Linked DNA regions of Mus musculus. The protein of the gene in region 1 interacts with the protein of each later gene in a biochemical or structural test. Links are inferred from orthologs where the notes say so. Each region holds a gene or a part of one and is shown in the gene's direction. Other genes may lie near its edges. The genes, in order: Arfip2 and Arf5.

What was found.
Region 2: the proteins of Arfip2 (region 1) and Arf5 form a complex in vitro, tested with the Homo sapiens proteins (2 studies listed by BioGRID). The link is inferred for Mus musculus from reciprocal best matches to the Homo sapiens genes ARFIP2 and ARF5.

The regions. Positions count from the first base shown.
Region 1 is NC_000073.6:105,637,520-105,641,849, reverse strand, and holds the start of Arfip2 (arfaptin-2), read left to right. Parts: upstream 1-1,433; 5' UTR 1,434-1,605; intron 1,606-2,384; 5' UTR 2,385-2,426; coding exon 2,427-2,525; intron 2,526-2,744; coding exon 2,745-2,841; intron 2,842-3,522; coding exon 3,523-3,641; intron 3,642-3,809; coding exon 3,810-4,031; exon of another isoform or gene 4,032-4,124; coding exon of another isoform or gene 4,125-4,196; exon of another isoform or gene 4,197-4,288; intron 4,289-4,330. Other genes in the region: Timm10b (mitochondrial import inner membrane translocase subunit Tim10 B), read right to left, coding at 690-822, 993-1,088, 1,228-1,257. UniProt on the Homo sapiens protein: Plays a role in constitutive metalloproteinase (MMP) secretion from the trans Golgi network. May have important functions during vesicle biogenesis at certain cargo subdomains, which could be predominantly utilized by secreted MMPs, such as MMP7 and MMP2.
Region 2 is NC_000072.6:28,422,187-28,426,608, forward strand, and holds Arf5 (ADP-ribosylation factor 5), read left to right. Parts: upstream 1-1,417; 5' UTR 1,418-1,502; coding exon 1,503-1,569; intron 1,570-2,103; coding exon 2,104-2,184; intron 2,185-2,535; coding exon 2,536-2,645; intron 2,646-2,986; coding exon 2,987-3,058; intron 3,059-3,552; coding exon 3,553-3,678; intron 3,679-3,885; coding exon 3,886-3,972; 3' UTR 3,973-4,416; downstream 4,417-4,422.

The DNA.
Region 1 (4,330 bases):
TTCTTTGTTTAAAGTCTTTATTGCTAATTTCACAAAGGCAGGAAGTACTAAGAGAGTAAATTGGGGAAATGGTCAACATTCCTGAATTCTTAGAGGCTTGTCTTTGTTCTGTTGTCACTGACCTCCTAGGAAGCAGTGGCTAAAGCCTAAGGGGGTAGAGTTTTCTTCCTGCTTTTGTTGTTTGGTTTTACCTTCTTCCCCTAGGTTCACAGCAATTCTTTTTGACAGCTGAAAATAAAAACTAGTTATGAGTCAATGTATATTCAGGTCCTTGAGTTAGTCCCAAGGACAGCCACTGAGAGCTCTCCTTTTGGAACCAATTTCCCATTGCTATTACTAACCTTAAAGCTCTACCCATAATCCCTGCTTTTGCTGGGGTGCTGGGAATGCTGAATTTGTCCTTCTACACATAAGAAGGCACTACATCAACCTCCAGGGCTAAAGGCAGTACACATGCACTAGATGACAGAATAAAGGCTGGTACCCATAGACAAATAACCAGACTGTAAAAACGGGTTTATTGGCTCCAAGAAAAGGAGCAACAGCACCCAGCTTTCAAGCTCAATCTCTCTGTACACATTTAGATAAGCCCAAGGTCCATAGAGGAGCCCATCCAAGCACCTTCTCTCCAGGGGCCAGGGACGGCTAGCTGCCTGATGGCGAGTCTCTGGTCTGTTCTGCAGGAATACCTGGCGCGGCCGAGGCAGCCTCGTAGTCCGCGATGCGGCGCTGGACCAGGGCGGGCATGAGGTGCACGTAAGCGGCCATGAGGCGGTGGTTAGAATGGATGAGTTTCCCAGCACAGCTGTGCAGGCAGGCCTCCTGGAAGGAAGACGGAGGGAAGTAGAAACTAAAAGGGGTCCAGTCAAGCCCGCCTCCTTCCTTCCCGGTCCCCAGCCTAGGAGTGAGGTCAAGAAAGAGGGAGAAGATGGGGGGCTGGGGGAGGGTGTCACGTCACGTTGTCAACTCTGGGACCCCCACACTGTCTCCACCTCCTCAGCGTCCAGAGCTCGGTGGTGCAGGCTGGGCACACAGCGCTGGAAACACAGTTCTGTCATCCGATTGTAGACCAACAGGAAGTCTCGCAACTGAGAGAAAAGGGAACCACGACTTCACCACCGCTAAGGCTCCCCGGGATGCACAGCCCGTCTCCCCCTCGGGTTCTTGCGTGTACCCCTGGAAACAAACTGCACGTCTAACCCAGAGAGCAACTGCGCTCTCACTCACGTTTCTCAGTTGCTGCTGCTGCTGCTCCATCACGCCAAGGGCGCACAGCCCTAGTCACTTCCGCCCGTGGCGGGGTGGCAGGGTGGCGCGGGGTTGGGGGGGCGGAGGGGGGAGGTTAGAGCTCTCAGAGTCGCCCCGGAAGTAAACTCTCACTACTCCCCAAGAGCTTGAAGGCGTAGCTCCAGGCTCGTCCTGCCCACAACTGCAAACGTCACTTCCGCCCTTTTTCTCTGCGACGTGGCCGGCTTCTTCTGCCCAGAGAGCATGTCACTTCCGCCAAATCTCTGACCTGCTGCTAGGATCGCGACGAGAACTGGAACCCGAGGTCCCCGCGCGGTCCGGGCCTCGCGCCCTGAGGGGAAGAGCGGCCCGGCCCAGGTGAGAAGGACATACTTGGACGAAGGGAAGTTGAACGCACGAACCTGTACTGAGGGCAAAATGCCCTGAGCCCTTGGCAAGGATGAGGACACACCTGATGCCCAGGTGTATGGGGGTGGGGGGAGCCCCTCACATCTGGGAGGCTTCAGCTGACTTTGGAAGGGATTGCCCGTGTCCTGGGAAAGAGAGCCTTTCACCTGACACCAGGAACATTCACTAACTGCTTCAACCAAGGCCTGCTGGGGAGGGCCTAAGGGAGTCAGGTGCATGAGATGGAGAAAGGAAGAGCCCAGACCGGCTGAAGGAAGAGGGGAAGGAACACCAAAGAATGTGAAAGACCAGGATTGTAGAGCATGCCTGAGTGGCAAGTGAGAGTCTGAGCCTAGGAAAGGGTTCTGGTAAACATTGCCTCTGCAGGGTTAAGTTCCCAGAGAGCATAGACCTCCCCTCTGGTCCTCACTGCTATAATCCCATTGCCTCAGTATCTCACTCATAATAGACACTCACTAGATAGTTGTTGAATGACTGAATGCATGAATGGTTACTGAAGGCGAGGTAGGGGGGTTATGAGAAGACACCCGAGGCTTTGGTATGCATGCATCTGTAGAGATAATGTCCTCAGAAGAGAAGAAACACACAAACTCAAGGAAAGCCGTGGTGGCTGATCCCAGGACACCCAAGCCCAAAGACAACCCCTGAAACCTCTGAGAACACAGGGAAGGCCTCCTTGTTCTGGAGTGCTGGCCAGTTTCCAGAATTGTCTGTGTTGGGCTTTACAGCGTGCTGGGGTGGAGACCTTGACTCCAGTCCCTTCCCTAGCCATGACGGACGGGATTCTAGGGAAGGCAGCCACAATGGAGATTCCCATCCACGGAAATGGCGAAGCTGGGCAGCTTCCTGAAGACGATGGGCTGGAGCAGGTGCTTCTGTTTGATTCTTCTCATTGTTTTGTTATACATTCCTGACTTATAAACCTTTAATTTCCCCTGTCCCGGTAGCCTTCAGTTAACTAAACTCCTTCATACTTTTCAAATCTTCTTTATGGTTCTGTACAGACTTTACTATGCACTGTCTCCGTCCCCAAAATGTTTCATCCATCCCTGTGTTCCTGAGGTGCCCCCCTCTTCTCTGACCTATAGGACCTCCAGCAGGTGATGGTGTCAGGACCCAACCTCAATGAAACTAGCATTGTGTCTGGTGGCTATGGGGGCTCTGGTGACGGACTCATCCCCACAGGTATGAATGATAGAGATAGGCTTGAGGGGTGGGGTGTTGAGACAGTTTGCAGGCACATAGACACATACAGGAAAGCTTGACTCCTGGACTGGAGAGCTTGCGAACTGCTGGTGTGAAGTTCATAGACAGTCCAGTCCCAGGCCAGCTCCCAGAGTTGCCCATCTGCCTCCCACTGGCCAGTCAGTCTCGAAGATAATCTCACTCGTCTTCTCCTCCTTGCCGCCACCATCTGAGCCAAGTTAAGACCTTAAGGTTATGAGCACTCAGGAGCTTAAGGCCAGTTTGGAGCTTTGTGAGGCTTCTCAGAGTTTCATTTTAGACTCTTTTACTGGCTAGAATTCTACCTAGAAATATAAGCCAACTTCTCTGTTTTTCTGTGTTCACCATCTTTGATCCTGCCAATCGCACATGTCATGTTTGCTTCTATTCCCGCTTATCTCGTACACCAACAACACTCCTACCCTACTCCAAGAATGCCAGATACATACATTGAATTGATTTGGTTGTCAGGACATGAGTCCTTGTTCCCCCTAGTGACCAGAAGAATGCAGTTGTCTGTCTAGATAGTCCTTCTTCAGAGAGGTCATTTCGTGTGTTTGGGGGGGTGGGGGGGAGGAGTGAGCCACAGAAGTGTATGGTTTTATCTAAGAGAAACTGGTGTCAGAGAACTTGGTCCTTTAGGGTCTGGCCGACATCCATCTCACAGCACGTCACCCTCTGGCCCTGGTGACGAGGTGGCCCGGGGCATCGCTGGAGAAAAGTTTGACATCGTCAAGAAATGGGGCATCAACACATATAAGGTAAGATTCAAGTGCTTCTCCTCAGAAATTCTCCGTGGGGACCTTTTCCCTTTCCCCAGGTCTTACTGTGTAGTCTTTGCTATGACTAAGAGAACGGGGGTGCTGGAGTAGTTCATTGTTGGGGTGGAGTTTAGATTTCTGACCTCACCCCCCCCCCCTTCCAATCAGTGCACAAAGCAGCTGTTATCAGAGAGATTTGGCCGAGGCTCCCGGACTGTGGATCTGGAGCTAGAGCTGCAGATTGAGTTGCTGCGTGAGACGAAGCGCAAGTATGAAAGTGTCCTGCAGCTGGGCCGGGCACTGACAGCCCACCTCTACAGCCTGTTGCAGACCCAGCATGCACTAGGTGATGCCTTTGCTGACCTCAGCCAGAAGTCCCCAGAGCTTCAGGTGCCTCAGCCAAAACAAAGAGGGTGGGGGTACTGGGCCCTGGTCCTTCCAGGCAGGCTTTCCTCAGCCTCCCTCCCTCCCTCCCTCCTGCAGCCCCCAGGGAGAACCCCTCTGGGGTGCGCCCAGTCCTGCCCCCAGCATCACTCACCTATGGAGGCAGCCTAAGGGTTTGTACAGAGGCCCAGAAGTTGGAAGGGTTGTGGGAGAGGGCTCACCAGTACCTCATAAGTAACCTGTCTCCACATCATCAAGAATGCCTTTGGTGCTTGGCCTAATCAGATTCCCTCCCTGCCTGCTGC
Region 2 (4,422 bases), on another chromosome or scaffold:
ACAGAGGGGTAACATGTCCAATGTCACTCAGCTAGGAAGTTTAGGAGTCCTATCTCAGTCTGCCTCTCAACATACTACATGCTATGCCAGATAGCACTACTGAAGAAGCATGGCCTTGTCCCAAGAAACTCCTAACAGCAAGGACACAGAGATTCAAACAGGTAGCTCCTGCCTTCACACTAGTGTGTCGGGGCATTGCAGAAGTGGTATAAAGGAGATGAGGCACCTGCCAGGACAGAGACTCTTAGGGGAAATGATTTGAAGTTTGAGAGATGAGTAGACTGCCAAGCTCAATGCAGATGTGGGAAACCAGCATGGAGGAAAGTGGAAAGGTGTATAGGGACGTCAGGCATCAGTGAGCCTAACTTGCCCAGGAAGCTTATGGTGTGGGAGAAGGGTGGCTACTGATGAGGCTGGAACAAAGGACCCAACTTAAAGGCATTTAGATTTTACCTTAGGTGACAAGACATGAAAAGATTTTCATCTCAAGAGCACACCATCAAGTCTCCTTTTTCTTTTCCATCAAGACTCTTGTGGGGACTGTAAGACGACTCAGCAGTAAAGGCACTTTCCACCCAGGCCCAATGATCTGACCTGAGTTCTATCACCAGGGCCCACACGGTGGAAAGAGAGAACATATTCCCACAGGTTGTCCTCTGAGAGCTACACCTCCACACATGAACACGAAATAAAAGTGGGGAGGGAGCCAGGCGTGGTGGCGCACGCCTTTAATCCCAGCACTTGGGAGGCAGAGGCAGGTGGATTTCTGAGTTCGAGGCGAGCCGGGTCTACAAAGTGAATTCCAGGACAACCAGGGCTATACAGAGAAACCCTGTCTCGAAAAAAAAAAAAAAAAAAGGGTGGGGAGGAGCTAGAAACAAAATAAGATTCCTGTGACATTATGAAGATACCAAGCCTGTGAGAGGGGTGCGGGGAGGGAAAGAGATGAAATAAGAGTGACAACGGGTTTTAAGAAAATATTTCTGTAATAAAAATCTACTCAAGATGCCAAGGCAGCCGTCACATCTCCGTGAGTTCGAGACTAGGCTGGTCTACATAGCAAGTTCCAGACCACCCAAGGCTACATAGTGGACATAGTGTTTCAAAACAAAAGACAATGAGCTACTTTGAGAATCTTTTAAATGTACTTTTCGACTCTATCAAAGTCTTCTCAGGAATGCAAGTTTACCACTTAAGAGTAAAGCAAAGTCCTGCGGTCACCGGAGACCCAGAACAAGTCCCCTTCCAAGCCCTGGTCCCCAGGCAGGCTGCCAGGCCTCCCTAGACTTCAGTTCTTCCGCAAACGCGCCTGGGGGGCGGGGCCGGGGCGGACCCGGAGGGGCGGGGCCACGTGACGTCGGGCGGACCCGGACGCGCGGAGGTGGCGGCGGCGGCGGCGGCGGCGCCTCCTCCTTCTGCTGTTGCGCCCCATCCCCCCGCGGCCGGCCGGTTCCAGCCCTCGCCCCGCGTCCCCTGCCCGCGCCCCCGCCCCGGGCCCCGCCATGGGCCTCACGGTGTCCGCGCTCTTTTCGCGGATCTTCGGGAAGAAGCAGATGCGGATCCTTATGGGTGAGGCAGATCGAGCGCGCGGCCCGCTTGGGGCGCCGGCCCCGCCGCAGCCCTCCCGCCCCCGCGTCCCTCTAGCCCCGCTCACCTGGTACCCTGACCCCGAGACACCCCACCGCCAAAGCCTCTGGGGGCCGCGCTCCCGTGCAAACCAGGATCTGCAGTGTCGGCCCTGGGCCTGAAACCCGGAGCTGGGGCCTGGGTGGGGTGACGCTTCCTCCGCCCCAGCCCGGCTGCTAAGAAGGGAGGATTCCGCCCTTGGAAACGACTTTTCAAAGGAACGCGGCCTTCCTCCCAGGTCCCCTACCTCCCTAGCCCCTCTCGCCCCTCGGGCACTTGAGGGGCAGGAGTTGGCACTCGCCACCCAGACTGCCCTCAAGGCCCGGAAGGTGGAGAAGAGCGCGCACCTGGAGGCCCTCCTGCTCTCCGCCCCCATCACCATCAGCTGGCCAGGCCTCTCCCTGTCCCTGGGCTCTAGGGGGCTCCCTCGCTCCCGTCTCCATTCTTTGCCCCCCCCCCCCCCCTTCTCCGTTGCAGTTGGCTTGGATGCGGCTGGCAAGACTACCATCCTGTACAAACTGAAGTTGGGGGAGATTGTCACCACCATCCCCACTATAGGTGAGTCCAGGACAAGGAGCGGGAAGCAGGAATGTCGCTTTGAGCCTTGTCGGGGTCTGCTCCCACTTCTGCCTAGGCCCTTATCTGTCCCTGACCCTGACACCAGATACAGCTACTTGAGAAATGGGTCACCGTATCTCTAAGCGCCTGATGGTGCCTGAGGCGTGGACCATGAGCCTAGCATATCTGTTGACCTCCGGTCCTCTGGATTCTATTCCCCTTGGCCTTGGTGGTCATTGCCTTCTGGATTTGTGTCCTTTGCAGAGATCGGAGTGGTTTTAGTGAGTTCCTTTGAGGACCTGTTTTTTACCCTCTTCACTCAAAAAAAAAAAAAAATGGTTTTTCCTGCAGGCTTCAATGTGGAAACAGTGGAATATAAGAACATCTGTTTCACAGTGTGGGATGTTGGAGGCCAGGATAAGATTCGGCCTCTGTGGCGGCACTACTTCCAGAACACTCAGGTGCAGTTGGGTTGGGAGGTGGGGGAGACAACCCCTGGGAGAGGGCTTGAGTTAGACCACGACTGGGCTGTCACCGCTCTCATCTTTGCTAAGCTTAAGAATTCACCCTCACCTTATTCTGGGAAGCAGAGTTCTAGGGCCATGCTGTCTTCTGTAGTTCTCAACAACACAGCTTTTCCCTCGCTCCCTCCCTCCCTCCCTCAGTGGTCTCTGCAGACTAGAAGTTTACCAGATAAGAAAGGCTAATACAACTCAAGATGGGAGAAGTGAGACCAGGCCAGGTGAGGGTGGGACCTAGGTAGGAGTGACCCCTTCTGCTTCCTTTCTTCCTTCCCACCCAGGGCCTCATCTTTGTGGTAGACAGCAACGACCGGGAGCGGGTCCAGGAGTCTGCTGATGAACTCCAGAAGATGGTAAATACCGAGCTCTGGGAACCGAGCCCTGGGCTTTTGGACAGAGTCCTCCGGGGGGTGGTAGGAAGTCCAGAACACTAAGGGCAGGAGGTTTTCTGTCATGGCACTAGATAAGTCCTATCTTATCTACTTTAGACAGGACTTTTTAATTTAAATCCTTTCCATCCAAGTCTACGGAGTTGGGAGAAAGAGAGGGGTTGTCTATGCTAAAGAGAAATAGCATCTCGTGTTACTTGTTCTTTTGTTTTCTGTTGGAATTTTTGTCATCTTTGCTTAGCACAAGTTCTTAAATTAGGATAGTTCAGTTTTTTTGTAGAGGTAAAGTTTAGGGGGCTGGAGCTTACTTAGAGCCGTGTTGACGTTCAGCAATGAACTACACAGTTCACTGTCTTTTTCCTACAAAGACTCTGGAGGTTTGAAATGGGAGCTCCCCAGCAGTGCAGTCAGCCGGGGGGCCTTGAAACCACAGGTCCCACTCTCCCTTCTCCCCTCAGCTGCAGGAGGATGAGCTCCGGGATGCGGTGCTGCTGGTGTTTGCCAACAAGCAGGACATGCCCAATGCCATGCCCGTGAGCGAGCTGACTGACAAGCTGGGCCTTCAGCACCTGCGTAGCCGCACGGTAAGGCTCACGTCCCCTCGGCACTGGGCCCCGTGCTCTCCTGGGCCCGCTGGACAGAGAAGAAAGAGAGGGGTTGTCTATGCTAAAGAGAAATAGCATCTTGTGTTACTTGTTCTTTTGTTTTCTGTTGGAATTTTTGTCATCTTTGCTTAGCACAAGGAAGAGTTCTCTTCCCTGAGACTGATCTCCTTCTCTCTGTCCCTACAGTGGTACGTCCAGGCCACCTGTGCCACCCAAGGCACAGGCCTGTATGATGGGCTGGACTGGCTGTCCCACGAGCTGTCAAAGCGCTAGCCAGCCAGGGGCAGGCCCCTGCTGCCCGGAAGCTCCCGCGTGCATCCCGGGATGACCAGACTCCCGGACTCCTCAGGCAGTGCCCTTCCTCCCCACTCTTCCTCCCCACAGACAGGCCTCTGCTCCTGCGCCTGCCTGCATGCTCTCTCTTGTCGTTGGAGCCTGGAGCCTTGCTCTCTGGGCACAGAGGGCTCTGCTCTCCTGCCTGCTGGGACCTGTGGATGGGCTTCCTGGCCAAGGCCCCCTCTTCCAGGGGAGGAGCAGGGATCTGGATTTAATTTGGTTTTGGTTTTGGTTTTTTGATTTTTTTTTCTTTTTTTTCTTTCTTTTTTTTTGTTTTGGGGGTACCCTTGGGGCCAGGTTTTGGGGGGAGGAAAGTGAGGGCTCCGGGTGGTGCTATGACGTGGAACTGGATATTGAGTAATAAATTTGCTGTGGTTTGTACCCGGT